3 linked regions of the Coturnix japonica genome follow. The protein of the gene in region 3 purifies or fractionates together with the protein of the main gene of each other region. This does not show direct contact. Links are inferred from orthologs where the notes say so. Each region holds a gene or a part of one and is shown on either strand. Other genes may lie near its edges.

The links.
Region 1: the proteins of LSM6 (region 3) and LSM1 purify together in Homo sapiens (co-immunoprecipitation; 3 studies listed by BioGRID and IntAct, counting the BioPlex papers as one, with this or other methods). This does not show direct contact. The link is inferred for Coturnix japonica from reciprocal best matches to the Homo sapiens genes LSM6 and LSM1.
Region 2: the proteins of LSM6 (region 3) and SART3 purify together in Homo sapiens (affinity purification with mass spectrometry; 4 studies listed by BioGRID and IntAct, counting the BioPlex papers as one, with this or other methods). This does not show direct contact. The link is inferred for Coturnix japonica from reciprocal best matches to the Homo sapiens genes LSM6 and SART3.

What each region holds. Positions count from the first base shown.
Region 1 is NC_029537.1:3,643,784-3,653,341, forward strand, and holds LSM1 (U6 snRNA-associated Sm-like protein LSm1), read right to left. Parts: upstream 3,062-9,558; coding exon 3,016-3,061; intron 2,877-3,015; coding exon 2,808-2,876; intron 2,253-2,807; coding exon 2,137-2,252; intron 2,067-2,136; coding exon 1,896-2,066; 3' UTR 1,651-1,895; downstream 1-1,650. Other genes in the region: BAG4 (BAG family molecular chaperone regulator 4), read left to right, coding at 3,060-3,281, 3,359-3,439, 3,651-3,884, 4,202-4,426, 4,739-5,245; phospholipase DDHD2, read left to right, coding at 7,377-7,558, 7,708-7,904, 8,787-8,977. UniProt on the Homo sapiens protein: Plays a role in the degradation of histone mRNAs, the only eukaryotic mRNAs that are not polyadenylated. Probably also part of an LSm subunits-containing complex involved in the general process of mRNA degradation.
Region 2 is NC_029530.1:5,664,750-5,675,113, reverse strand, and holds the start of SART3 (squamous cell carcinoma antigen recognized by T-cells 3), read left to right. Parts: upstream 1-5,347; 5' UTR 5,348-5,602; coding exon 5,603-5,770; intron 5,771-7,008; coding exon 7,009-7,135; intron 7,136-7,721; coding exon 7,722-7,826; intron 7,827-7,976; coding exon 7,977-8,161; intron 8,162-9,033; coding exon 9,034-9,139; intron 9,140-9,893; coding exon 9,894-10,018; intron 10,019-10,218; coding exon 10,219-10,364. Other genes in the region: TMEM119 (transmembrane protein 119), read left to right, coding at 1-400; ISCU (iron-sulfur cluster assembly enzyme ISCU, mitochondrial), read right to left, coding at 3,464-3,555, 3,772-3,850, 4,573-4,683, 5,017-5,130, 5,207-5,293. UniProt on the Homo sapiens protein: U6 snRNP-binding protein that functions as a recycling factor of the splicing machinery. Promotes the initial reassembly of U4 and U6 snRNPs following their ejection from the spliceosome during its maturation.
Region 3 is NC_029519.1:27,568,461-27,578,665, reverse strand, and holds LSM6 (U6 snRNA-associated Sm-like protein LSm6), read right to left. Parts: upstream 4,832-10,205; 5' UTR 4,643-4,831; coding exon 4,471-4,642; intron 2,236-4,470; coding exon 2,122-2,235; intron 912-2,121; coding exon 877-911; 3' UTR 733-876; downstream 1-732. UniProt on the Homo sapiens protein: Plays a role in pre-mRNA splicing as component of the U4/U6-U5 tri-snRNP complex that is involved in spliceosome assembly, and as component of the precatalytic spliceosome (spliceosome B complex).

The sequences.
Region 1 (9,558 bases), on a different chromosome or scaffold from region 3:
TACGGCAGTGCCCCAGGGGCCAAGGGCGGCCCCATCTCCCCATGCATCTGCTGGGGGCTGTGGGTCACCGTGGGTGTCAGCAGCAGCACATGCGCACATCCTTATGCAGCTGCTGCTGCCCAGAGACGTGGTGCAAACTCTGCTGTCCCCCTCTGCTGCTGCACGTGGATGCTTCGTGCACATTATGAGGCTGAGAGCATCTCGTGGACCGCTTGCATAAAGCTTTAGCTGTGGGCAGGGCTGCAGGGGTCCCACACTGCTGCACTGAGGGGGCACCCCCACATCTCCCCAGGGGTGGAGCAATAGCAGCGATAAGGCTCAAGGCTGAAATGACATCTGTGGGATGAGTTACAGCCCCAGCACCGAGCGAGCCCCAAAAGCTGTGAATCACAGCTGCTTCCTTTGACGTCAGCTCCTGCTCTCTGCTGCGGGGATGCTGACCTTGCTCCTCTTTGCTGTCGCAAAAGCTTGGAAGGGGGGGAGGTCATCCACTCATTGAGGTGCAGAGGGTGCATGGGGAGCTGCAGCACAGCCCTGTGGTGCTCAGCTCTACCTGTGCCCAGGAATGGCTGCACTGCTCCTGCCCATACCTGCAGGATGGATCCTCTCCAGTCAGACCAAGTGCAGCACAGCACATCTCACATGCAATGGGATGGGGTTTGAAGAGACTGCAGGAAAACAGCAGCTGAGCAACTCAAATTGCTGCCTTGGTAATACAGCAGCACAGACACGGCTCTTCCCAGCACAGAGATCTCCAGCTCTGCAATGCTGTTATGCCAATGGAGCAGCTGCCCCAAAACACACGGCCTCGGAGCAAGGACATGCACTTGTTTGTGAGAAGAACTGAACTGATCCCTGACAGAACCACCCCTTCAGCTCCAGGGCGCCCCAGTTCCAGGGACACAGCAGAACTTCAGGACACCTATAAAACTGAGGTGTCCCTCATTGGTTCCACAGCGTCACATCAGCACCTCCTCAGGTGTCCCACACCACCACCATGCCCAGGGACTGCAAGAAAGGGGGGGTCCCAGCCCTACCAGCCTCACTGCACACCCTCCTTACTCACCCAGGGACCTCACATCCCCTTTGACATTCAGCCCTCCCAATGCACTGCTATTGCTCACAGTGCCCTGAGCCCAGGAGAGGCCACAGCAGGGGGGGCTGAATCCATGTCCCCTCCATGTGCAGGGACCTCAGGGTGCCCCCCAGCCTCCCCCACTGCCCCAAGGCTGCTTTGATGCTATTTGGAGAGCAGAGATAAACACACAGCCCCCCCCCCACACACACACACACACAACAGGGGGCAGGCAATAAGATAACACAGGCACTGCCCAGGCTGTAAGGCAGGAACTGACACCAATAGGAGCCCCATAATATCAGAGAACACATGGTAATGAAAGACCCCAAACTCTGCTTTTTCCTGCCTTACCTACAAGTGCTGAAGTCTGCAGCACCCAGTTCAGCTCAACCCACTCAGTTCCTACCTACCTGCCTCACACATGTGATGCTCCATCAACTCAGCAGGTAATTAACTAATTAGGGGGCAAACAGCTGCACCTGAGTGAACAGAGCTGAACTGGGCCCAGCACCTGAGGTCATGGAGAGTCCCATTGTGCCCATAACCACACAGAGCCCAAACACAAGCCAAGCTGTTGCTGTTGAGATCAGGGGTTTATTTACAGGTGAAGGGAAGCTCTCACTCAGCTCCAGGCGAGGAGCCAAAAGAAACAAACCAAAAAGGAACAGAGACCTTCATCTCTGAACAGAAATTGCTGCACCCCCCGGAGCATCCAGTTACCTCCGAGGGTTCCCCATTGCCATCACTCCTTTTTTCCCCTCAAGGGGGAACAGAAGCCATGATTTCAGTGCCTGCACCACTCAGCATTGCCATCCCATCAGTACTCATCCAACGTGTCAGCCCTGGGCACCGCCAGGCCTCTCTCCTTCAACGCCTGCACCTTCAGCTTCTCCGACTCCTGCTTGGCTTGCAGCTCCAACCTTTGCTCCTCCAGGATCTCCTCGATGGAAACCTGCTGCAGCAACGTGTCGCTCTCCTTCTCCAGGTCCTGCAAAGCAAAGAGCTGTTGTTAAGCAGAGCTGCAGGGTGAGGGGCTGCAGGGCACGGGGCTCACTCACAATCTCCCCCAGCAGCACCACGTTCTCCCCTCTCACAACGAAGATCCCTCGAGGGATGTCCCCATATTTCTTGCCCACGTGAATTCGCTCCACTGTCTGATGCAGCACCAGGTTGGCTGTGGGGATAGAGAAAAAAACACCCCGTTTTTAACCAGTTTTTTACCAAAACCACCCAGTTTTTCACCAAACAGAGCACCTCACCTGAAACAACCCATAGCCTAAAGCATAGGGAGCAGCTGGATTGCATTATAGCACTATAATCCTATATGCTGAGCATCCCCTAAACAACATGATCCCCCAAACCCAGCCACTATAGGACCCCAAAGCAGCCACTACCTATAGCTGATAAAGGGATCCCTGGTGCTATAGGGTAAAGAATGAGGGGCTCAGCTATAGGCACAAGTGAATGGGGAAGGGGGGAAAGGGGGGTAGGGAGAAGAGGGGTAAAGGGAGGTAAAGACTGGGGGGCTCAGCCATAGGCACAAGTCAATGGGGGGATGAACTTAGTGCTGCCCTAAGGGGGGAATATAACATGGGGTGGGGGTCCAACATGACAAGGGATGGGGGAACCACAAACTGGGTTCCTATCGGAGCCATATGGGTTCTATTAAGCCCTGATCCGGTGTCGTTCCCGGTGCTGCCCCCCCTATCCCCCCCCATTATATCCGTACCGAACTGATCGATGCTGCGTAGGAATCCGATCAGCGTCCGGCCGTCCCGCAGCAGAACCAGGTGTTTCTCTATGGGGAAAGGGATCAAGCGGGGGTACGGAACATCGGTCCCAATGGGAACCAAGGGGAAAACCGGGGTCCCCCGCGTCCGGGTCCCGGTTTTCCCCTTGGTTCCTTATTGAATGAATAGAACCTCGGTCACACTCACTGTCAATGTCCTGGATGAGGCTTGCAGTACCCGGCATGTAGTTCATGGTGGCGGAACCGCCCCACGTTGGGCGGTACTTAGCGATGCACTGTCCCTTTAAAAGCGGCGCCGGTAGTGCGAGCGGGGCTGCCTTTCATTGGTTACATCCAGGGGTCCTCGCATCCTATTGGTCGCATGGTGGGGGCCTTTTATCCTTGTGTCGCGCTGTGGGGTGGGCTACAGCGTGCCGGGTTGAAAACATGGAGCACCGCGGTCGTACCGGGCAGGTAAAGGGGGGGGGGGAACCGAGCACAGCCCGTTATCCCGTTATCACTGCTCCATATAATGGGGTTTTTCCTTATAGGAGCCACCAGGCCCCGGCTTCAACCCCGGTTATTGGAGCCCAGCGTTCGGTTTTGGGGCCTACACCGACGGAGCGGACTCGGTATGTTGGGTTTGGGGGATGAGGGTCCATTTCCATCCCCCTCCCGTCCATTAAGGCTTTGACCGAGCTGTGCTTCATTTCTATGCCATAGGATACAATGGGCTTCAAGCCCCACTTGTTTCCTACAGCTCAGTACAGAAATAACCCATTAAATATCCTAACACACATTTCAGCTCATTTTCTTTCTCTTTTTCCCTTTTCTCCTCCCCAGGCTATGGACTCACCCTACACCAACGGATCCTACAGCGCCCCATACCCTCCCCATTACACCTCACTGCCACAAACACGAACCTACAGCACTTCAGGTCCATCCTACAGCACCGACAGCTCAGCCCCATATCGACCCCCCCCTCCTGCCCCTCCCTGGGGCTGTGGCACACAGGACTGCCCAGCAGAGGGATGCTCAATGCGCAGGCAAAAGGCTGCTGGGTATTCCCCACCGCAGGTAAGAAACCATTTAGGGTGTGCACAGCAAAGCGAGAGCTCCTGTGCTGCTCACCCCATAGAGGGTGAACCCACAGTGCACCCTAATTGGGCCCAAATGGCTTCTATGTCCCACCCAGCTCGCCCTGCTTGCTCTTGTAAGAACTTGGAGTTGCCCCTTTCTGCTGGGAGCTCTGAGGTCACGAGCTTTGGAGCAGAAAGCAGCAGCAGTCCCAGTGCTGGGGCTCATCCCAGTGCTGGGGCTCATCCCAGAGCTTCCTTCTGCCACAGGCATTGGGAGCTGACTTAGGACTTACATCTGTCCCCCTCTCCCCACAGACCCCAGGGATGCCCGTTCCTCAGTATCCATATGGAGACCACAGCCCCGGGGCCAACCCACAGCCCAGGGCTCAGGAGGAGGCGTGGGCTCCCCCTCACTATGGGGTGCAGGCACGGTATGCATGGCCTGCAGCTCCAGCACATGGGAATCCATTCCTCTCTGAATCACAACCACCCTGGACTGGCAGCAGGACTGCAGCTCATCCTCCTGTGTGGGACTCGAAGGTACAGTGATGCTTTAATGGCTCTGACACAAAGATTCTGGCTGTAGCCAGAGCTCAGCTCATGCTGCCTTCCCCCGCAATACACACATGCAGCTGCTCAGTGCTCCTTTCTCCAAGCACAGTTTGCTTCCAGGAGACAAAAACAAAGCAGCGGTTCTAAGTACTGCCAGCAAAATCACCTGCTTATATATCCAAACTGCCATTGAAGAAAGCACTGGAGATAGCAGACCCTGAGAGGCGGGTCTTGAAGTGGAGCAGATCTCATTTAATGCCTCTGTAATGTAGACTCTTTTTTTTCCCCTTCTGATTGTAGGAATCTGCTTATGACAAACCTGATCCGAGTGCAAACCAACACTGCTACTATTCTGACAGCAATCACCAGCACCCTGGGACAATGAATGACCACAAACCACCCTCCCTGCTGCATAACTCCAAGTCATCTCCCTCCAACCCCAAGGTACAATACAGTGCACAGCCCCAGATGTACAACAGTGCAACTCGGAGGCAGCTGGCTGGGAACCAGGAGGCAGGTTGCAAAGCTGGCAATCACACTGCAATGAATTCTGCAGCCATCCAGCCAGAGATACAGAGGATCCTACAGGTCACAGAGCAGGCTGAAGAGTTAGAACAAGAGGTGGATGAATTTGTAGGGAAAAAGACAGATAAATCCTACAGGCTTCTGGAGGAGATGCTGACCAAGCTGCTGTTAGAACTGGATTCCATTGAGACTGGTGGGCAGGATGGTGTCCGACAGGCCAGGAAAGAAGCTGTCCATAGAATTCAGGCCATACTGGAAAAACTGGAAAGGAAAGGATTGTGAAAGCAAATCAGCCACAATGCAGCCTGTTGTGGAGGTTCCAAAGAGTTAATCCAAATCTCAGCTCTTTCTGCTAAGCACTACTGATAATGAGAAAGCAATAAGACTTGATTGAAAAGAAGAAACAACCCTAAACCCACAGGAAAGCCCAGCCCCGACCAACAGCTCAGCATTGGACCAATGAAGAGAAGATGAAAGCAGCAAATTGAGTTGTTTGCTCTGGGATGTGAAGAAGCAGCACCACCTGAAGGTGTTTAGCACTGGGTTGTCTGTGTCCTTCATCCAGCAAGAAGAAAATCACTGCACAAAGTTCCCCAAACCGGGTCCAAATCCACCCAAATCCATGGTACCTCGTGGAGCCACAGCTGCAGCACTTGTCACATGCATCACCATAAATGAAGGTCCATCAGTGCGTGTGCTTTCAGCTTCAGATCCCTTACCCACAAAAGCTGGTTTGTGTCATCCCGGGGTTCTCTTTTTGTTTCCAATGCGCTCCCTGTAGCTCTGCTGATGTGAAGCTGTTCTGTGATGCCGTGTGGATGTGGGAACATAGCCTGGAACTCTGAGTTTTTCACCTGGAAAAGCCAGTTGCAGGCAGAGCCGTGCAGCCCTGGACAGTGGGAGGTGCAGAAAATGCTTTTTCAGGTCGCGTGGGTCAAATCCACTTTTTAATTGTAACGCCTACTGGGTGAACCTGGTTACGACATGCAAAGCGAATCATTGCTGCGTGTAATGAGATCATAATAAACCCTGATGACTTTTAAATGTTGTTTTGTAATTAAATCCTTAAGTCTCTTCTTCTTCTTTTTAAGGGGATGTTGTGTCCAGGTTGCTGAGCTTATAGCAGAGCCCAGCTGGGCTGTAGCAGCAGGTGGAGCTTAGAGGTGAGTGTGGTATATGGACACATGCAGCCCCCCATTGGGTGCTGCTGGGGGGCAGTGCAGGCTGTGAGTGCTGCAGCCCCACTGCAGGATTGTTGGCCGTGCTTTGGAAGGGATTTACTATTGGCTGCCACCCTCAGGGCATGGAGTACATGCATGGATTGACCTTTGCAGCTCTTTGGATGTGTGTGAGATCACATGCAGCAGTCAGAACACTGAGGCATCCCTGGGGGTGGGAAGGAGCTGGAATTAATTACCAAAGCCCATTTCTTCCTCTGTTACAACACTTGTTTTCTATCAGACACTGTTGGCACAAAGCTTCGCATTCCCTTTAGGAAGGATCTCAACGAGGTCTGCAATTTGCTCTTGCATGGGAGCCACGCTTCAGCCAAGGGGAGCAGATGTGAGATGGCTGCAGTCAGCCCTGCAGCATCCCCTGCTTGTTGTATGAGCATCACCTGGGCAGCTCCAAATGCCACGCAGGGCTGATGCTGATTCTGCTGCTTCCATGGGCAGTCCCTGCATCCAGGGATGTGAAGGCAGGAAGGTTTTCTTACCCTTGTTTCAGCAGCAAAGGCAGCATTGGGAATGAACCCACCCCATCCCCTGCCTGCTCTTTGCTCTGATGCTCGCCCCCCTGCGCTGTCAGCTGCCTGATAAAGGGGCTGGTCGGTCCTACCCGTGCAGGCAGCCACGTGGAGAGCAGCCCCGCTTATCTCCGAGCGGTGACACCGCAATGCAGGCGGGCAGAGCAGAAGAGCTGCAATCAAACTGCAGCGTTCCGTGGGGCCGGGGCAAAGGTTTCCATTAACAGCGATGTGGTAGGAACGATATTTGGTGTATCTGCTTGGAAGAAGAGCTGAGTGTGCCGGCACAGCATGGAGAGGGAGAGAGGGGCAAGAAGGAGGGGGGGGGGAGGCTTTTTGGGGTGTTTTGGTGCTAAATCCATCCAGGTAACGCATTGCTTTGTAATAGAATCCGGCGCTGAGCCCCCGCTATGGGAAGGGAAGGGTGAGGGTGGGCAAAGGGGGGGGTGATGAAAGGCTGCTCAATAGCACGACGGGGGCGGCGGTATCACCGGGCACCGGGGAACCACCGCCCCGAACCGCGGCAGCACATCCGGCTTAAGGCCGGAGTAAAGCTGTAATTAATGAACGCCGGCCTTTAATTAGCGCCGACCCCGCAATGCCGAGCGGGTGCGGTCCCCGCTGGGGTGAAACGGCCGCGGAATCGACTCGCGTGATGGTGATGGGATGGGATGGGATGGACCGCCCCGATCCACGGCCGGCCCCCCCCGCCCCGAGCAGGCGCAGCAAAGAGCGGAGGCAGCACCGGGGGCGGGGAACGGAGCCGGGTCGGGAGCGGAGCCGGGGAGCAGCGCTGTGCCGCCCCGCTGTGCCGCCCCTCGGGCCGGGGAGCAGCGGAACCGTCCTACGTACGTGAGCGGCCACCGACGGGCGGCGATGTCTCCGTCCGTGGGCTCGGAGGGACGCGAGGGCGCTGCGGGGAGCGGAGCGCGGCCTCTCTGTGCTCTGCACTGTGCGTAGAGATCCGCGGGTCCGACCGTCGTTGTCCTTTATCCAGGAGCATCATGTCTAACCCGGAGCAGCAGCCGGCGCTGCCCAGCCGGGCTGCCCACGAAGCTGCGGAGTTGGACGCGGGGAATGGGTACGAAGCGGTCGTTCCGCATTGGTTTTATTGCAAGGTGACCGGCGGGAGGGAGCGGTGGCTGCCGTTCAGCGTTCAGGACTCGGAGAGGCTGGAAGAGGCTCATAGTGCAGGTAGGAGATCGGTCCGAACTGCTTCCATCACACCCTGCGTGCGGCCAATGCGATCGGATACGGGATGGTGCTGCGCCTTCAGCCCGTCAGCGCTGTGCTTCAATGGCCTTTAAAGGTCTTTTAAACACCTCATCCCCTGCGTGTGTGATGGGGAACCGGCCTGGTGAGGTCAATGGAAGCATCAGGCGTGTGCCCAAGGGAAGCAGGGTGGTGATGCATGCTGCAAGCAGCAAAGGGAAAGCCCACAGCTCCTGCTTGGGTTGCAACATTCCCCCCTTTGGAAGCTGTAATTGAGGCTTGTGTTTGGTGGCAGTGCTGGAGCTGTAAGTGCATGGACAGTGAGGATGGAGGAGGTAGTATAAGGTCTGGCCTTGTTAATATGGCACATGCTGTATATTATATTATACATCATGTTGGAAAGCACCTTTATAGGGGGGACAGAAGCCTGAGCAGGAGGGCAGATCTGTCTGAGGGGACACTGCTGTGCTTCATAATGACAGCACAGGCAGTGGGGGCTGTGCTGGGATGTGAGCAGAGCTCTCTGTTCTGGATGGGAACGCTTTGAAGGTGGAGATCTGCACCAATGCAGGGTCCCAGGGCAGTGATTTCACACACTGCCACCTCAATGCAAGCAGGGAGAGCCCCTGGAAGGCCGTGCCCTAAGCTAGAAGGGAGGGGACTGCTTGCAGCTCAGTGCTTGCAGCTCAGTGCTTCCCTCTCACCTGCTGCCACTGGGGATGTCTGGCTTCAGGCATCTCTCCAGCTCAGGTCTCTGTGCATACAGACAGCACTGCTGGTTGCTGCTGCAGTCTCCTCTATGTGGTTCAGCATCCTGGTAATTCACCTTTTGGGCCCCTCACACGATTCATTCTGCTTCCCCAGGGAAGGATAAAGCAGATGTGGTCGTCCCGACATCAGGTGGGAGGTACGACGTGCACCTGAAGCAGAGGCAGTGCCTGGCGGTGTTCTGGGAGGAGGAGGTGTCCGAGGTGCGACGCTGCACCTGGTTTTATAAAGGGGACAAGGACAATAAATACGTCCCCTATTCAGAGAGCTTCAGCGAGGAGCTGGAGGTAAAAACACCCCCTTGGAGCACACAGCTCACCACCACCCTCTGCTTCTCATTGCCAAACACCACCCTGCCATCCCAAACTCCATATGGGGCCATTGGTGCTGCCGTTGCACCTGAGGACATGAACTCAGAATAGGCTTTGGCATGCTTTGGCACGGCATTTTCACGGCTGATTAACACAACTAAATACTGCTCTGCCTCCCCTTCCGCCCCATCATGGAGCACTCTGCTCAATGCCTGTTTGTTCTCCACCAGCCATGCAGCTCCGGCCCATCCTGCAGCCTCTCCCTGCTGTCTTTGTTCTGTGTTTTCCCCCAGCCCTGCCTGGTACTGCTGTGTTTCGGTTCTTATGGCCATAGGACAGTCATCCTCACTTTGTTAATGCAAGAAATAGTTCTTACTGCTGCAGGGGCCCATAGAATGTTTGCTGGTACCTGCTGTAAAGGGTGGGGGCTTTCTTTGCTGAGATATACAAACTTATTTACAGTCATCTGTATTAAAATACACAAGTAGTGGGGAAGCTTTCTGCTGCTATTCCAACAGGGAATACTTTAGCATGCAATATGGAGACAATCCTGTGGC
Region 2 (10,364 bases), on a different chromosome or scaffold from region 3:
CTGCGCCGCCGTCATCGTGCGGCAGAAGCACAAAGCTTCAGCCTACTACCCGTCCTCCTTCCCCAAAAAGAAGTACGTGGACCAAAGGGACAAGACCGGAGGGCCTCGGGATTTCAGCGAGGTGCCTGACAAGGCTCCGGACCCTGATGCTGAGGAGCCCCTGGACTCTGGCCGACAGCTGCAGGCTGATATATTGGCTGCAGCCCAGAACCTCAAATCTCCCAGTAAAGCACCGTTGGCCAATGGGGCCGGTGCCCAGGGAGAGCATGAGGGCAGGGAGGAAGAAGTCAGCAAGCACCCCGCTGAGCCCCCTCCCCAGAATCAAGATGCTGAAGGAGTGGGACCGGAGGCAACAAGCGCAGAGGGCAAGGAGGCCCAAGATGGCTCTCCCAGCACTTAATGCCAACCATGGACTCAGAGCCGGGCTCCTGGCTGCCCTGCTCACCACCCACCCGAACGTGGAGGCTCAAGGAAGCCCCGATGAAGCCCCACTCCCCCTCCTATGCCTCCCCCCGACCCCATGCAGCCATGGGAGGCCATTTTTGAGCCGCGCTTTGGGCTGATGCGGTGCTCAGTGCAGCCAAACCCATTGCTTGTGCTTTCTCCATGGGTGCTTTCCTTGGATTCCCCCCAAAAATAAAGAGAAAAGCCCAGGCTGGGTCTCCCCACCGTCCTTGCACAGCTTTCTCGCAGATGTTATTTTCACTCATTATTGCAACCTGGCCCACACCCAGGCAATAGGGCATGGAGGAAACATGACCCATGACTTCATGACTGCTGGTAGTACAGACCTTCTATGGGGGCCCGGGGACATTGCAGACCCCTTGGATTGATGAGGGGGTCAGCTGCTCCCATCCTCCTTTTCCAACCCCCAACCCTGCAGTGCCTGGTGGAGATTGGAGGCATTCTAGATGTGTTTTGGTGAGAAAAAGAAAGGGAAAACCTTAGCCAACCTTAGCAGGAGGGAAGAGGATGCAGCAACAATGACCCCGTCCTTTTGTTTGCAAGCCCTGAATGTCACAGACCCCTCAGAAAGCACAGCAAATGGATCTCAGAAAGGAGCTGGACTTTTGCCTTATTTTCTTAACCCCCTTTGCTATGAATAAAAACATCTACTATGCACATTTCTTCCTCTCATGTGTGTTTCTGGAGCTGTCAGGGTAGGCAAACCGTGGGCTCAGTGCCATCCTTCCCTGGCAGAGCTTGAGGACATGAGGATGGGCAGGGGAGTAATGCTCCCTACAGCTGTGTGCTTGCTGCTGGTGACGCTCTCAGAGCCAGGGGACACTGTTATCACTTGCACAATCTGCATGCAATTCTCAGAAACCCTTATCTGGTGTCAGCCAGCACTGTGAGTGGGGAGGGCTCTGGCCTGAGATCCTCTTTGGGGAGATGCACACAGGTTTGTTTCCTGATCTCACACTGGTTTGCTTTGAGAACTCAGACACGTGCTTTGTCCTGCAGCAGGGCGTGCTAATAGAAGGCAAGTGTCTGATGTACCTGGAAGGCAGCACAACCCTGTATCCTCATGTATGGGAGTTGTTAGGCCATGGGCTGAATCATTGAGCAGCTGGTGAAGGGGTGTAGTCAGCCCTGGGAGCACAGGTGGAAGCAATTCACCTGGGTCCACCCCTCCTTAACCTCATTTAAGGGCTGGCAGCCACAAAGGAAGCATCTCTACCTGGAGATTGGCTCCTTTGTCACATTTGATGAGCCCTGATCCTTGGAAATGGGGTGAGCAATTCTTTCTTTATTACTGGATTGTGACCACTACCTTTCTTGGGTTTAAAGCAACTGTATCTGCTGTCATCTATCCTTACACCTCACATCCTTTTACCAATGTCGCTCTATGCTTTTAATATATCCCCATTACTCCAGCTGACAGCATTTTGCAGGGAAACCAAAGGATTCCCCCAAACAGGAGTGACAACAACTTAAAATAATAACTCAAAAAATAATTACATTGCAGACAGAAACCAGAACGAGCCACTTATTTTTACTGAATGTTGTTTTTAATGCAGCTGTGCAACATCATAGGTATGAAAACTGGAAAGGAAGATAGGGTGGGGCGTGGGGTGAGGATGTTATAAGAGCAAGGGAGGTTTTTAAGTGCATTTTCTTTTGATTTGAAGATCTGTGGCAACACTCCCTTGGAAAACAGCCATCGCTGTGAGGCACAGGGGAGCACAGTGGTCTAAAGAACAGAGGGTAAGCCATGCTGTGTGGCCATAAAACGCCTGTTTTGAACTGACTCTGTGCCCCACGCTCCCAAGGAGCCCAGCTCATGTGGTGGGTGGGCAAATCCTCCACTTGGTGAGTGCTACCCCTGTGCTCTCTTCATAACTCACTCCTCCAGCGAAGCAGTTTGAGCAGCTTTAGCTGTGCACACAGAGCTGCTCGGGGGAGGTATCTGCCAGGCTGTGTTTTTGAGGTTTCTTTCCACAAATGAAGAGAATCCAGCCCTAAAACTACCAAAGGCAACAACAGAAGCTATCAGAAATAGCATCCAAAATCAGCTCCAGCAGCAGGTAAGGATCCCCTTCTGCCCCTGGCTTAGTACCAAGAGCACTGGCTGCTCTCTCTGCCCTGGAAGGGATGGGGGAAGTTCAGAAGACACCCCCAGAGGGCACAGGCTGACTCCTGCTCTTCCAGGGAGGTTCCCCTCAGTATTACATCCCAGTTAAGCTATTTGCATTCTGGGTTTGAATCCTCAGCGTGTGTTTAATCTCCCTTAACAGTATTTGGCAAACTAAAGGGTTGAATGCTTTTAAAAGATGCTCCAACATTAACCCTCCTGCTATTGGAGGATGTGAACACAAACATGTCCTGCTAACGCTGCTGGCTCTGAGCTTCCTGGCAACCAACTGCAGCTGCTGTTATTTGCTCACCTCCCACAGTCAGTGCCCTCTAGTGCCTGGTGAAGCATCCCAGCTCCTCCCAGAGAGCAGCGTGACGCAGGGGATAGACAGCATGTGAGAGGTCACAGATTGTGAAACCAAACTCCAACACAGCTGCAGCCAAACCACATGAGATTTATATATACTGTATTGATTGACAAAGTGACCCACATAAAGACCAAGGCAACCAAGTTTCCCACCAAACTCTTTGTAAAACATTAGGCAAAACTATACAGAAGAAAAAAAGTGCAGCCCTTCCAATGCTGGAACAGGAGGATTCTTTCTCTCTTGAGAAGCTACCGGGGGGTTGCCCTGAAGCAGAGCAGCCCTTCACTCTCACCATTTCAAAACCAATCCTGACAGGACACAGGCTGCTGAAATACCCACGTTCCAGTCATTTAAGCACTACCAGGGTGGCTGTACACACATGACCAGTGACACGTTGTGCGTTGAGTTGTGCGTATCTTACAGCTTCTTGAGTAGTGCACAGGATTCTATTAACAGCTAGAATAATTGCACTGCAAATTGAACTGGAATGAGGACAACCTCTACAGTCTGTTTAGGAATTAGTCTGCTTTCTGCTCTGACTCTCCTTTCTTTGGATCCTGTTTCAGTTTGTAGTCAGCCAAGGCAGCCTTGATTGCATCCTCAGCCAGCACTAGGGGAGAAAAAGAGCACAAAACAATGTCATTTACAAGCACTTTAAATAACAGTGACAAGTCACTTAGAACAAAAGATGCAGTACAAGCAGAAGCAGCCAGCAATAACCACCACTGTGGGTCAGCCTTAGCTGCTATGTGTGCAAAGCTTTATTTGGAGAACGTACAAAAGCATCTGTGTTCTCAAATAACAACGTGTTTGATGCTTTACTTACTAGAGCAATGCAGTTTGACCGGAGGAAGGCAAAGTTCTTTTGCAATGTCTGTGTTCTTGATTTTCAATGCTTCATCAATCTGAAATGTATGGGTAGGGTACAGTCATCAGTCAGGCATACACATGTACATATGATGCCCACACACCACGCAGGTATTTGATACAGGTGTGCTTCAAAGCACTGGAACCAACCAAAGTCACGCTCTGAGAAGGCAGTAAAAGCTGCTGATAGTGTTCTACCATAAGAAAGGCCTTTCAATAATACCTGTTTTATTCTGCTCCTGCCAAGCAACAAATCTGCAACCTACTACAGGGAACCTCCTTTGGCAGAGGAGCTGGACTAGGTGATACTCAGAGGTCCATTTCAACCCCTGATTCTATGAAATATAAGGAATGTCTCAAAGTGTGCAGTGCTTGTTAATAAACCAGAGCATTATTTTACTGCTGACCAACTGCAGGGACTGTTCCAGGTTTGTTCTGCTGTAATATAGAAACAACCTGCTTGTCACAATGCCAAGCACACGGAGATCAGCCAATGGAAGACATTCCACTATACAAGTGCTTTCTTTATCTATTTTCGATTGCTGTGTAGCACCCAAAGCTTCTTCACAGCTTATTGGAGACTTCCAGAAAAGGCAAATATTGCTTTAAAAGTCAGGAAAGATGAAACTGCATTCTGAGCTTCTATGTGAGTGTAACACCTGGAGAGCACCTCTCTAGACCCCTGTTTCCTTCCCTGATCCCAGCAGTGGGTGTGAATATGTACCTGCTCCCCACTGTGCCCCTTAAGCCAAGCCCTTACCGTCTTCCCTTTCACCCACTCTGTTGCCAAGGAGCTGGAAGCGATGGCAGAACCACAACCGAAGGTTTTGAAGCGAGCATCAACAATGCGGCCGTTCTCATCCACTTCCACCTGTGGGAGTTATCAGAGGGGCGCTCAGTTCCACGTAGGAACCACACACAAAGGGACAGCGATAGGACAGCGAGTTTAAGGCTGGGGGTTTATCGGATTTTAGGGCCTGCAGAGGGACTTTAAGGGACAATGAGTTTAAGGCTGGGGGTCTATTGGATTTTAGGATCTGCAGAGGGGCGTAAAGGGACAGCGAGTTTAAGGCTGGGGGTCTATTGGATTTTAGGGCCTGCAGAGGGGCTTAAAGGGGGTGTGACGGAGGAATCCTATGTCACAGCCATATGGTGGCAGACACTGATGGTTGTGTCCTTACAGGGCACCCCGTGCTCCCCTCACCTGCAGCTTCATAACGTCTCCACAGGCCGGGGCTCCCACCAGGCCCGTACCCACGTTCTTTGCGTTGCGATCGAGAGAGCCCACGTTCCGCGGGTTCTCGTAGTGATCCACCACCTGCGAGAACAACGTGTCACTAACAACCCCCAACGGGCACTATGGGCTCCCCACAGCCCTACCCGGCCCCTCTCACCTTCTTGTGGTAGCCCGCCCCCCCCACCGCCGTCGCCCCCCGCCCGGGCCGCAGCAGCGCCGCCCCCGCCGCCCTCAGCGCCGCCATCTTGAGTCTGCCCGCACCTGGCAGCGGCGCTCTGCCCCAACCCTCCCGAAGGACCCCTGGAGGCCGAGGCCCTGAGGTGTCCGTGGCGCTGCCTCTGCAGCAGACTAAATTATAAGGAGTAACGGGCCGAGCTGCTCGGCTTTTCGTGGCAGTTGGACGCGGAGAAGAGCAGAACCTTGTCGGGAGAGTTTATCGTCCTTTCTTTCACCGCTTTTGGCTGGGGGGAATGTACAATATTGAGACAGGCGCGCAGTAGCCAACCCCATCGGCTGGCTGAGAGCGGCCGGCAGCGAGGCGAGCTGCAACAAGATGGCGGCGGCGGGAGCCGAGGCGGCGGTGGAGGAGGAGAAGCGTGTGGTGGAGGGAGACCCCGAGTCGGGGGGGGATTCGGAGGATGAAGGCGACTCGGATTCATCAGGAGACGGCGAGGATGAGGAGAAGGAGAACGAGGCGGAGATCCAGCGGCTGGAGGAGCAGGTGGGGCCCGGCTGTACCGTGCTTTGGTTATGGAGATCTGGAAACGCCTCCGGGCGTGATGCCTTTTAATTCGCTTTTTATTCCTCGCTTCAGGGCGAGAGAGACTCAGGGAGCAGCCCTGGTATGTTGAAAGTGAACTCAGATGGTGGTTTCCTTAGTGATCTTGAAGGAATTAAAACGCGTTTGCTGAGGAGGGCTCACTGGGTGTTAGCGCTGTGTCTGTACTTGGGGGCTCTCGGGCCTTAGGGCTGTGAGTTCAGTCTTCTGCAGAACTTTAAAGCCCAGCTTTAGTAACAGGGATCTTCTATGAAGGGCTGCAGAGGTGGTCGGGGCCTGCAGCTTCTATTTGAGGAGCCCTGAGGCTGCCCTTGAGGCAGGAGGGAAGGCTGAGGGAGCAGCACTTGTCAGGGTAGAAATCGTGAAGATGGGGCCAGGTTCTTTTCAGCCATGCCCAGCTACACGATAAGGGGCAGTGGGCACAAACTGGAACCCAGGAAGTTCTATCTGAACGTGAGAAATAACTTCTTCGCTGTGAAGTTGACAGAGCCCTGACACAAGCTGCCCAGGGAGGTGGTGGAGTTTCTTTCTTTAGAGATGCTCAGGATCCACTGGGATGCTTTCTAATGCTACCTGCTGGGGGGAGGGTTGGACTGAGGGATCCTCAGAGGACTTTGCCTTTTCCTGTCACTTACAGTTCTGTGATTCTGTGTAACTGAGCAGGGAGGTGAATGTCTGTCTGTACTTGGCCCTGGTGAAGGCAAGGCATCTTAAGTGCTGCGTTTAATTTACTCACTACAGAAGAAAGGCATCAAGGCCCTGGAGCATGTCTGGAGTAGGGCAGCAGAGCTGTAAAGGGTTTGGAGTACGAGCTATATGGGGAGAGGTTGAGGGAGCTGGGGATCACAGAATTGTAGGATGGTTCTCCACTACTCCCTGAAAAGAGGTTGTAGCAGGGTGGGAGTTGCTCTCTTCTCCCATATAACAGCGATGGGACAAGAGGCAAAGGCCTTAAGTTATACCAGGGGAGGTTCTTGTTGAGTATTGGGAATGACTGCTTCTTCAAAAGAGCAGTCAGGAATTGAGACAAGCTGTCCAGGGAGGTGGTGGGATCACCATCCCTGGAGGTGTTCAAGAACTGCAGGGATGTGACACATAGAAAACAGTGTGTAAAGTTCTGTTCTGCTGAGTATTTGCTGACTTCTGCAAGCCTTTAAAAACTTCCTTTATTTTCTTTAAAGCTTTCCATCAATGCTTTTGACTACAATTGCCACTTGGATCTGATAAAGCTGCTCCGCCAAGAGGGAGAGCTGGTGAAGCTCAGAAGAGCTCGGCAGAAGATGAGTGAACTCTTCCCACTTACTGAAGGTACAGAGCTGCTTCTCCTTGCAGCTGGTAATACTGATGAAGCATCATCAGTGTGAAATACTCTTTGTGCCAGGTTTCAGCCATGCTGTTCCAGCCTAAAGGATCAGATTGAAGCTCTGAACTCAACTTGAAGCAGGCCTTTCTTTTTATTTATAGTTAACACTGTAACAATATAAATACCTGGCAGTGGGCTTTTAGCTTTGGCAAGTGAAGGTTTCCTCTTAGGCATGTGGGAACCTGCAGCCTCTAAAGCCATCTGCTGTTTCTTGTAAAAAAGAAGGAAACTGTGCCACTCAATGCCTCTTTGCTGGCCTATGTGCATTCTCTGTGCATGGTGCTGACCAATTGCTGCTCACAGCTTCATCTCTCTTTAAATAGAAGCATACTTGCTTAGGACTAGGTTGGAGACATCAGTACCAAACTTTTCATTTAAACTAATTGTGTGTAGATGCGGGGACTTAAAATTGCTCTTTTTCTCCCCATTTTCTCTATCCCCATTTTTAAGCCTGTTATTAAAAAATAACCAAAAATGTAAAGGGAAAAGTTTTTTTCCAAGCGTTGGTGACTGTAAACTTCTTGGTTTCAGAAATCTGGCTGGACTGGTTGAAGGATGAGATAAAAATGGCTTCTGAGATCTCAGAGCGAGAGAAAGTTTATGAGCTGTTTGAGAGAGCCGTGAAGGATTACATCTGTAAGTTCTTAATGTGTGGGAGTTAAAAAAACATTTAAAGGTCTATTATACTGAATAGTAAAGACAATTTCTATGCCTTTGGATAAGTATTTGAGATGCCTTTGTATTTTCGAGGACATCAGCTCTCCTGTTTCTCATAACTTTGTTTAGGTCCTGAAATTTGGCTGGAATATGCCCAGTATTCAATCGGTGGCATTGGTCAGGAAGGAGGAATTGAGAAAGTTCGCTCAATATTTGAGAGAGCATTGACAGCGGTTGGGCTGCACGTGACAAAAGGAACAGCTCTGTGGGAAGCGTACCGTGAGTTTGAGAATGCCATCCTGGAGACAGCACAGGTAAGGCTGGTCTGATGGGCTGCTGTCAGTTAGAGGCTGTGGTGGAGCTTCCGAAGTCACCTTATGCTGCTTATCAGTCTCCTTGGAGAAATGAGGCTGTGGTGTCACTCAGTTGTTTCTTTTCAGCTGTAGAGACTGACTGTTTGGACTGAGAAAAATGTTCTGTGTTCTGTAAGAGTGGAGGTGTGTTAAAATATGTTCATAAAACCTCACAACCAGAAGCAAAACTACTCTACTTCTTTAGCTTGTACTGACAAGAATAAGTAGCTTCATTATTAAGCATTATTATTCATTCTAGTGAATACTTTTGCCCATAATCAGTGATGTTTGCGTTTCTAGGCTGCCTTATGCCTCAGTGTTGAATTTATTCACTGTTTCACCCTTTTTGAAACATCAGACTTTGCGAGATGACTAGAATGTCAATATTTCTGTTTCCTTGTAGCTTGCTACATAAGACGTGAAAGTTGGTCAGTATTGAAATGCCCATGCAGAGGAGTAATGGGGGAATGCTCTTCTGCTTGTAAAAAGAAAAGAATTGAGTTTTAAAGCATCTCTGCAAGCATCAAGGATTTATTGAAAACCTATCTGTAGGTTTGTGAATTGGAATGATCACACACTGTTCTCCAGGTTATCATTTCCCAGTGTCTGCTTTCACTGGGGGATGCTTTGTACTTTCGTCAGCTTCTGACTAGCAGTTTCCAGGTTTTAGCTTTAGCAGCAGCCACGTGAAATACAAGTTGGCCATGTGTGTTCTTCAAGGATCATGTAGTAGTGGTTTGGAGCCCAGATCACCAACCCGTAAACAATACCCCCTTGTGTCCATCAACTCAGGCTTGAGGGGGCTGATTAAATTTCAATCCTTTTGTTTGCAGCCAGCTCCTGGCAGCGTTCCGTCGCCTGAGCAGCAGCAGATGCTCTGCAGCCAGCTTGAAAGGATCCACACGCTGTTCAGGCGCCAGCTGGGGATCCCACTGTTAGGTGAGAGCCTGCGTGCTTGGGGGAGTTGGCGTGGATAAACTGTATTATGGCAAAGTAGGCATGAATTGTGATTATTCTTTTGGTAGAGCCACACAAATTGCAGCTGTTGGATTTGAGTATTCATGGATCAATTACATTTGCCTGCCTTTGGGGCCCCTTGAATGATGCACATTTCCCGTTTGTTCGGAAATATTCGTAGTCATTGAAACTTTGTTTATCTGTTTCCATGCTGCATAGTTTGAGGTCATTCAGGCTGTTTAAAGTACAAGTAATTAGCACAAAGCATGACCCTTAGGAGCTAGGAATTCAGCTGAGAAGCTCACTGTGTACGAGCATTGGCTGATAGGTAAATGATACATGCTGACAGCTGGATTGATAGTCCTGCTGTATCAGTTTCATACTTCAAACTCCTCAAGTCCCTTTTCTTGCTTCTTTATCTGCATACAGGAAAAAGGTCTTAAACTTCCTTATTTTTCCATTGAAAGCATCTAGGTTGGTTTCTTCTTTAAAGCCCTGAGAAAATCTTGCAACTTTGGTTTTGTAAAGGAAAAGCTAATGATTATGAGCAACTTGTCCTAAGTTTTTGTTCAAATTACACCTATAAGCTGAATCATTTAGTCATATGGTAGTCTGACAGTTAAGGAATAAAACTATAAACAGAAACGTGACCACGTTAGAATCAAGCAGAGATTGAATTCCAATTATTTAGTCTGTTGAGTGCATTAGTGATGCGATTTCGTGTCTTTTTTAACAGATATGGACACATCATATGCTGAGTATGAGGAATGGTCCGAAGATCCAATACCAGAAACAACAATAAAGAGCTACAAAAAGGCTCTACAGCAATTGGAGAAGTGTAAACCATACGAGGAGGCACTGGTATGTTGTTACTTATACATTCCTTTAAAATTAAGAATTAAATCAAAAGCTGAAATGTAGTTCCCAGCACTAAAAGTGACAGAGCTGCTGAAATGTAGAGGCCAAGTTCAAGTTTGGAATGTTGTGCAGGACCTACTGAGTCAGTTGAGCTGTTTGAAGCATGCTTTGTTTAGAAGACTTCTATTTTTCATGTCCTGTAGCTGGGTGCTGAAACACCGAAGCTAGCAGAATACCAAGCTTACATTGATTTTGAAATGAAAGCTGGTGATCCAGCTCGCATTCAGTTGATCTACGAGAGGGCTTTGGCTGAGAACTGCCTTGTACCAGACCTGTGGGCACGCTACAA
Region 3 (10,205 bases):
TACACTTCTCTGGCTAGAAATGAGCAAATATGGATGGTACTAGGTTGGGGATAAGTGGATGGGAGAGTAGGAGTGAGCAGTTTGAAGAGGATACGTTTGTAAAAGCTTTGAGACTTCCAGTCTGTTTTAAAGAGTAGCTTTAGATATTAAAGTTGTTTTTTACTGAAGAAATCCTTTGTGTGTGGTAGAGTTGTAAAAGCAAAGGTACTGCAAGCAGGGGCGGGGAACAGAGGTAGGAGGTGATGCGGCTGCTGGCTGTGCTGGGGCACCAGCTGAGAGCTTTTCACTGGTGACTGACTTCCACAGCGGGGCAGTGCTACCCCTTAGGGCTTTTCTTCCATTTCGGTCCCCACCCCTAACTGCTGAAGTGTCACCGTCACATCCCTGATTTCAATCCCACAATTCAAGATGTTTGGGGTAATTTACCAGTCAGCAGCTGACTTTTTTACCCAGTGACTCTTAACCGCAGTTTGGCATTTGAAACTGACTGTGTTTTCTGAAAGGAACAGGTCGTTGTCACCAAATGCTTCTCCCTTCCCAGCATCACTTAAACCCTTCTTTTGCCATGACTTGTAATTTGCAGTTCTACACTTGCTTACCTATGGATTAGTACTGTCGTGACTGCTAGTGTAACCAAATGAGCTGGTGCTTTGAATTAGTCTTGTGACACTGCTGCATGCTTCATTTTTATTTCTGTTCAGAGGAACAAAACAATATTTTCAAACAAAAATATCCAGAAAGGTTACATTGGTTTACATTTATTTTTTAAAAAATAAGCACTCAAATATGTCACCTGTGAACCATTAACTACAAATGAAATAGGTCTCATCCATTTGGAGAGATTCACAAATACAGAAGAGCCTCCTTCTGGCATCTTCACATCCTTCTCTTCTGTGTGCTTATGTACAATACTGTGAAAAGAAGAAAGCAGAACAGCTATGAGAGTTTCAGTAAGTAATGTGCAAAGCCTGTTTATTTAATACTTACTACTTCTGTGGCTTTTAAAAATGAGTGTAATTAATCCCGTTCAGCATGAGCAAAGTCAAGAACTTTCAAGTCCAGGCTCCAAGAAATGCTATCAGATTTATGTACTAACTTGACTCAGTATTAAATTCACAGTCAAATGGTACGCTCCAGGTGATGCAGACTGCACGGAGGGAGAATAAGCCTAGCTACCCTGCAGCATTAACAAGGAGAGCATGATAGAATCTTTTAAGCAGCAGAATTAAGGGTGTTGGACAGCCACGTTATGATCTTTCAACAAAAGATGGAAATCCCAAGCACTTCCTGCAATGCTAACAAGCACCTATGAACCAGCAGACATCTTTCACCTACTTGGCTGCTGCTGCCAGAACATCATGTAATGCGGTGCTTCCCATGCACTTTGTAGGAACACCTTTGCCTTGGAGTGGAACTGTGCAGGCTGTATTTTGAATGCCCAAGTGATGAAATCACATCACGCTCCTAAACAGGGAATGTCTTAAGTTCTTTAGCCTATACTTTATTTTCCTGCCTCTCATCCATTTGTTTTTAACTTTCCTAACAAATTCTTATTCCTAGAATTGATTGTCTGGCTGCAATGTAACCTTACTGTAACAAGCTAAACTCCTTATAAAAAAACAATAATTTGACCTCATTCAAGGACTGTTTCTTTCCTAAACAAAACAACACACATAACGTGGGGTTCAGATCTTGTTTCTTTCTGTTCCCTCTTTCCTAGTAACTTTGTCAGACTCTGCTTCATTTACCTTCTCTCCAAGTCTCCTCACATCTGACCTGTGAACCTTTTCCATGCTTAGATATTCTTCTCCCTAGCATGTCCCACTACTATAGCCTAACTAGCTGATAGCACAGCATCAGCCCATGGTTTAAAGCAAGTTTCTCTTGTGTTGGGGAAGGATGCTAATTGTCCTTAAAGTGTACTACAATCCACCTACTGCACCGGGATGTTCCAAGGCTCAATAATGAAGTGCAAGTAATTTTTCTTAACCTCTAGTAGAATCTTTAATAATAAACAGCCCCCTTTACTAATGAACAGAACTCATCCAGGTCTGAGGAAAAGCACAGGCACTGAAAAGAAGCGCTGTAAAAAGTACATACAGCACAAGAAGGAGGAGTTACCATTATTTCCTCGGATAAATGCATCCCCATACTTGTTCTTTAACTGTCCATTTACGTATTCTTCTGTCTGTTCCAGAGCTATATTCATATAGCCATCCAGGCAAGCCAGGACACCTAAAGAGAGTGATAGTTTAAAAGTGAATCAACTTTAGCTTATTTCTGAACTAAACAAAACGGCTTTGCATTTGAACAGTACAAGGAAAAAAATTGTATCTTCATAGCAAACTAAACTTCCAAATGTGGTCAGGTGAGTCAGTCAGCAGCCCAGAGAGCATTAAAGGAACTAAACTGAGAGTAGGGAACTCCAGGTCCTGTACATGACTGGGTGGGGAGAACTCACTGAGACGTGACTTTGAAAGAGAACATCTTCCATTCTGAAAGTTTAGTTGTTGCTTTTTACTTTTGTTTTATGCCCAACTCCTGAGAAGAACCTGTGACATAAAGTGTAACTGGGCAGCCTAAGAACAAGGCTACAAGCTGAGTTTTGACCAAAGCTCATCAAGGATATATGTGAGAAATAACCCTTCTAATACAGGACACCACGCACATTTTTCTGATTTATTTTCCAGAAACTGGAGCACAGGAAGTTCTGCACGGATGTGCACAAGAATTTGTTTACGGTGAGGGTGACAGAGCACTGGAACAGGCTGCCCACGGAGCTTGTGGAGTCTCCTTCTCTGGAGATATTCAAGACCCGCCTGGACGCCTACCTGTGTGACGTGGTGTAGGGAGCCTGCTTTGGCAGGGGGTTGGACTCGATGATCTCTACAGGTCCCTTCCAACCCCTACAATTCTGTGATTCTGTGATTTTCATTCTTATAGACAGAATAACATGGGCTGCCAGCGTGATTTCTGTGTAAATCAATTCTACATCTTCAACGGGGAAAGGGTTTTCATATGACACTGAAATCTTCAGCCAAATTTAAGTGATGTACAAACAGAACATTTACATAGTGAACTAAATGTGGGGATTAACGGATGTGAAGAACTGCTCAGAAAATGCAATACGTACACAATGCAATTTGCTAATTGCATACATAAAACAACTTCTAACAAGCTGCTCATCTCCATCTTGTTTGTGTGTGTTTCCTGACTTCCTCCTTGCACACAGACACCACTATTAAAAATACAACTACCAAAATGGACAAGAATCTAATTTACCTGCTATTAAAACTGAAGACATGCAGTACATTGGCTGTATTTGAGGAGGGGGAGAACTCCAGTCTGAGAATCTTCCTCCAGGGTATGTTCTCATTTTCCAGAAGCGTTACTGTAATATCCTCCATTAAATAATTAGGAATTCAAGTTTTCTTGCCAACTTGTAATGGCTTGAGGATTGGTATTTTCCTGTATGTGTTTTTCATCCCTGTTTCCACATAAATGGGGAAATTCTGTCTGGCCACAAAGTGTTTTAAATACACCAAAACCTTCCAAGCCAAGTCAGTGACAACATTTTCACACCAGTAATCCTGAGTGCTTCAAGATGCCACAGAAAACAAATGTTTGCCCCAAGCTGAAGTTGGGCTGTGGGGTTTTTTTTTAAGCTATCACTCAACTGGCCAGGGTGCATCTTCATTTCTTTCATTGTTGTCTTTCTTTTCTTTGTATTTACTCCCAGAATACTAATAGCATCACATACTGTTGCTGCCCACCCTGGCTCATATTTTGCCTGTTTTTTATCAGTATGCAGCAATGTTTTTACATTCATATCCATCTGTACAACTGATTACACGTGCACTTTGCCAGGACTTCTTAGATGAGTACAGCGCTTGGCAGTGAACCAAGACATTTTACAGCTGCACACCAACGTGAGAACCAGGCAGCTGCTGTGCTCACAGTGGCTGGGAGGGTGGAGGTGCAAACATAAAATGAGAAGGGTAGCCTACAGGCAGAATCTGAAGAGATCTGCAACAAAAGCCTGAGATGCTGGGTTTCCTGATGTTTGGTTTATACAAGTGATCGAATTTCTGTAGAGAAATGAAGTGTGCATTTCTCAAATGTAAGCACCAGGAGGGAGTTAGGGAGAATGGAGGGAAACAAAGAAAGGAAAATAACTCCTGTATGACATTGGGCTGGTGTCCAAACACCAAGATTCCTTGTCAAAGGACAAACGAGCACTAAGATGAGCCAACTGAATTAAACCTACCTGAAGTAGCGATGTCTGGCATGATCATAACGTTTAAATCATCCCAGAATAAAACACCTGTCTCCTCATGGGAGAGGCATGATAAGAGCATCCAAACTTAACGAAGACTGAGATAAAGAAATAATTGTAGAGGCTGAGCTATTGGAGAGGCTCAGCCTAAAGGGAGCAGGACATCTCACTGCACAGACAAGGTGGAATCTTACCTCGATAATCGACTCCAGAATTTAACTTTACAACAACAGGCCTTCCAATGATCTGCTTTAGGAAGTCACTGGGAGTTTGCTTCCGTAGGCTCATCTTGATTTGTGTCGGTACGCTGGGAATAGATGTGAAAGCCGATATATGGATAAGCAGCACATCCCACCCTGCAGGCATTGAAGGCCAGGCTGGATGGGGATGCGAACAACCCGGTTTAGAGGGAGGCGTCCCTGCCTACAGCAGGGGGCTGGAAGTGGATGGGCTTAAAGGTCCCTCCGCACCGCTCCCCGCACCGAGGCACAGCCCGGCCCGCACCCCGCCGCCCGGTGCCCCATTGCGGCCGGGCCGAGACACAACGCCGCTCACACTCACCCGCTGCTACGCGCGCCCGGCCCCGCGTTCGCGGCCAATCAGCGGCGGGCGGTACGGCGCGGCGGCAGGGACACGGCGGGACGGGCGCGCTCGCTAAAGCGGGGCGGGTTGTGGCTGCACTGAGTAGCGCCGCCTCTATCGCTGCAGGGAGGAGCTGGATGGGATCACCTGCTGCCAAAGGACGGGGAGCAGCTTTCTGCTTCTGCACCCAGCTGTGGCCTGACCTCTGCAAAACCTCATCTGTGTCCGTTTTAAACTTATCTTTATAGTTTCTGTCTATTTTTATCGTTTCTGTCTATGGATACTTGGTTCATTGATGCCAGTCAACAAAATCCTTCTAATTTCCTTTTTAGTCCTAAATTTACAAACATATGTATTCCGAAAGACTGAAATAGAGATGGACAACGTTGTATCCTTAGCTCGCCACTTCTATGGCTTGAGGCTGAGCCATGAACCCACACCTTAGCAAATTTGTCCTGGTTTTCTGTATAAGCCTTGAAACAGTCTTCCATGCTGTACTGAGTAAATGAACCTCTGTGCAATAGGACACATTGCTGAGCATGTTGGTGTAGTGGGTTTTGCATTGGGAAAGAAAATTTCTCTCTTGCTTATTCACAAAGATTATATAATGTAATCACAACTGTAAATACACAACCTAAAGAATGTGTTGTTTCCTGAGTCACACAATCCCAGTGCTCAGGTAGGTGGTTTTCAAAGGAATTATGTAATCCATTCTGTAGACTCCTCGCAGATTTCAAAGCTTCGAGTGTGAAAAAATGAGACCCACTGTTTAATGGTTCTTCTTTTTGCTTCAGTCATCTAGATGAAAAAGGATTTGGGTCTAAAACTTTGCATGCGTTGCTATCAGTACATTCTTTAAAATATGGCATTGCTTTATCGTTCCACAAAGCAGAGAGCATTTTTCCAGCTGTATAAAACTCATTGAAATCAGTGACATTCTGCCCGTGTGTTTTAATCAAGATGAACTTGAAAGGTGAACATTGTAAGTGGTAGAAATTATTTATAATTTGGTAATAAAAGTTTATGTCTAACACTTCCAAACTTCATACATCTGCTATGTGCCAGCCTTGAGATATAGAACAATTGTGATTGCCTTTACATTTGGCCTCAGATGAAAGGTCATAAATTACAATGGGAGTTTTCAGTCCTTCGCAGCTCACAAAGTTTCCATTATAGCTTCTTCACCTCAAACATAAATGGTGACAAAGTTCTAACATGAAGAGTTGCTGTGGCCTTTACCAGCTGAACTTAATGATGGAAGCTGGGGGCTCGTCTACTATTGCTAAGTCTTGAATGTGAAGCACCTCAGAATGTTTGTTCAGAGAACCTCATTAAAATTTGCAGTTAACTTTAAAAAAACGAAATGGGATTTGACAGTGTATGAGAAATTGGTAATCACAGCCTGAACCTCTGATTAATCAGCTGAGGCAAGTGTCGGGTCAGCTGTGGGAGCACAGGTGAGAGTAATTTAGCTGTGCTCCTGGGAGGGGTGGAGCTCGACTCCACCTCCTCTAGACCTCATTTAAGGGCTGACCCCCACTGAGGCAGCATCTCTTGGAGATTGCTTTCTGGTGGAGATTGCCTCAGCTTTTCCCAGCTGAGGCATCGATATCGGTGAGTTTTCCTTTACAAATAACCTTTTGAATTATCTTTGCTACCATCTTCATATTATTCAACTTTACAGACAGTCTGTCTGTCTTTCTCTTCTCCTCCCAGCCCCCACTGAAGTCAGTGGAGGTTATGGTAATTACCTCTCTGTACTCAGAACCTTACAACAAAAATCTTTGAAATACACTGGCAATTTCAAAACAAATCTAACTCAGTGATCAGGTACCAGAAAGATAGCTGTTAGCTTATAGTTGTCATGGCTTGTTTTTAGAAACTGAAGTTTCAACAACATATTCTGGCTGCTGAAGAGTCCCTTTGTCCACTGGCCTAATCCAAAACTCTATCAAGTGGTTTCTGGTTCAGATCCTTTCCACGCTCCTTGTTTTCTCCAAAGCTATCCCACAGGATCCTCACAGAAGGGCAGAATACATTGATACCTTGTGCTGCTCAACATCATGATAAGAAAGCTATTTCAACCTGAGAACCCATCCCAAGGCTTTCTCTCCCCCTTCCCACGTGTGTTAGAGTGTATCTCCAGAAGCTTTCAGAGCTCACCTCCCTCACAGTACCTAGCTGTGTTCTTGGCTTCCCCCAAGAGATGAGAATTTTCATGAGCCTTGAGGTGTTTGAAATTCCCTTTGCATGCATTTTGATGGGAGAATTCCAGCCCTTTAGCAAGTAAATGATGCTGTATCTTTGCTTATACAATGAAAGATGAAAGTTTTTGGTTTTTTTTTTCCCTTAAATGGAGGCTTACTTATCCAGCATTATTCCCAAGAACATCAGAACTGAAGATTGCCAGCTATACTCTCAATTAAAAAGTTAATGCATTTTAAAATTGGACCTTAATAAAAAAACATTGCTTCTGTGCTACAGATTTAAGTCAAAGAGCCTAATAAAATTCTATTGTCTTCAGTTCCTTACTTTGTGCTCCCACTCCAGGATGTTCATGTCATCCAATATGAATTAAGCAACATGATTACCTTTTGTCACATGTTTTTGTCTCCAGCTTTCTATCTGGTTCGAATACAGTCTAACAGATCACATGAGAACTATGCTCTCTGTTGCACTAAGTAGAGGCTCGAAGCTCCACTTGCTTTGTTCATTTGTTTGTTTTGGGGGGGGGAGGGCACTTAGCTAGGCTCTAGCCAAATTACGATCATAGTGGAGCCACTCTTCTACATTTAAGCTTTCTAAAATATTTACATTAAACAAACACAGGTTCTCTCTCTCTCTCTTTTTTTCCATTGTAGAATTTCAATCCCAGGCGATACTTCAATGTAAATTTTTCCAAAGCCCATTTGATGGTGAAGTTCATCTTTTCAGGTTGATAATGCTGATGTCAAGTTTAAGCCCAGACATGGGCTAAAATGGTGACTTTAAATTGACCTGCTAGTGTAAAATATCTGCAAGGTTAGTTCCCAGCTCCCCCAAACTGCTTCTGACACCCACCTGAGAATATGAAATAAACATGGGGCTGCTCTAATTTGTACTGTGGTAAAACTTTGTCACAAAAATTCAGTTCCCCCTCCTGCTTATATGCTACCTGCAAATACTGGATGGCCACAATGAGGTCTCTGCAGAACCTTCTCTTCTCCAAGCTAAACAAGCCCAGTTCCCTCAACCTTTCCTCACAGGAGAGATGCTCTAGCTCTTTTATCATCTTAGTGGCCCTTCTCTAGACCTGCTCCATGAACTCAGCATCCTTCCTGTGCTGGTGGCCCCAGGCCTGGATGCAGTACTGCAGATGGGGCCTCACAAGAGCTGCGTAGAGGGAGACAGTCACTTCCCTCTCCCTGCTGGCCATCCCTCTTTTAATGCAGCCCAGATCACAGTTCGCCTTTTGGGCTGCAAGCACACACTACTGGCTCACAGCCAGCTTCTCATCCACGAGGACCCCCAAGTCCTTCTCTGCAGGGCTGCTCTCAAGGAGATCTTCCCCCAGTCTGTATAAGTGCCTGAAATTGCCCCAACCCAAGTGCAGCACCCTGCACTTGGCTGCATTGAACCTCATTAGGTTTTCGTGGGCCCCAACCCTTTCCCCCTGGGGATCCAGGTGATGCTCTAGGGCACAAGTATCATCTGATTTGTGAGAAGACGAAGTCTCTTTGGGGAGCTGACTGGATCTGCCATTCCCTGACTTCTTCCAGACTCTCAGTACGATCTTTCCTCTTATCTGAACCTTCTCAGGTATTTCATATTACAGGGAAAATATGTGTTGACCTCTCCTCAGGGAGATCCTTAGAGACTTTCTGTGGATTTTAGCACGCAGTGGATTGTAGATCAAGCCTAAAATAATTTGAGAGGGTTTTGTTTTGTTTTGTTTTTTCTGTCAACACAGAAAATGTAAGACATGATCCTGTGCCCAGCAGTGCTACTTCATGGGGAGGGGCAGCTAGCACAGTTTATATCATGGCTGTAATAGTAGTAAATTGGGTTTATTGACACAGACCACAACATTACATACTGGGGGGAAAAAAAAAAAAGAAAAAAAAAAGAAAATTAAAAAATAAGTGCAGATAACTGGGAAATTTGAAGCATTTGCCCTGGGGAATGAAAGAAAAAAAAGAAGATTGAGGTTTCAAGGTTACAGCTCTGAGGCTGCAACCTCTGGTTTGAGGTTACAGCTCTGAGGCTGTAAAGCTTTTGTTCTAGTTGCTTGTACAGTATGCAGAACTCTTGATTAGGTATTACTGAAATGCAAATAAAAATATTAATCATATGTTAGAAATAAGGGTACAAAGATCATTCGGTTTGTCCATGTGAGGAATGCCTTACTGAATATTACCTCGACTGAGAGCCACAAGTGGAGCTACAGAGTTGGTACTCACTGTTGATATGAGTTCCTCTTGTGAGAACACTGCAAAGAGGCAAAATGATCGGGTCTGTGTTCAGGCTGCCTGGGTTCTCATGTGCCTCTGCCTGAGGCTTCCAAGGTGACCTTGAGTGAATCACTTACCTCCTCAGAGCCACATTCGTTTAATTAACAGAAGTTTGAGTAGATGAGAGAAGCTATTTTTATTAGTATAAATAATTTTTGAAGTGGAGGGAAAATAGGAAAGAGATATGCAAAAAATCCCAAATATTTCTAGTTTCAAAGATTTGAAAAATAAATATTTGGTCTACTGTTAATTCTGGAAACCAAACAATTAAGTATTTAAAATAATGGAGACTGTGGAATAATCTCACTGTTCTTTCTGTATCTTTATTAGCTGCAGAGCTGGAGAGCACCATTTCTTTAGAAATAAAATGTGATTTAATGTCAGTGTTAGGTTGTTCCTAGGGCACTTGTGAGCTGGGATTTGCCAGTGCCCTTAATTCCTGCCCATGAGTACAAAGTCACTATTTCTGTAGCAAAACTAATGTAAGTTTTTGTAATGTGACACCAAGAACAGAAAGAAGCGAAAGAGAAAGGGAGGACTAGAAACTCAGTACATATGCAAGATAAACAGTTTTGTTCAGAGTATGACAAAGTCATAAAGTTTTGTAATCAGAAGTTATTCTCTTAACTGAGTACACTATGCAACTCTTGTCTTTTTAACATTTATTATCCTGTCTGCATACAGTACTGAAAATAAGGATATTGTCTGTAAGTACAGAACAGTGTTCAGATCTGACTCCACGGTGTTCGTATGGATGCAAGAAAATATTCCTACGTATTTCACTCATGGCTATTTTGATGAAAAGGTATTACTAGGAAAATTATATAAAAGCAGTATTGTAGGTTACATGTTTAGTC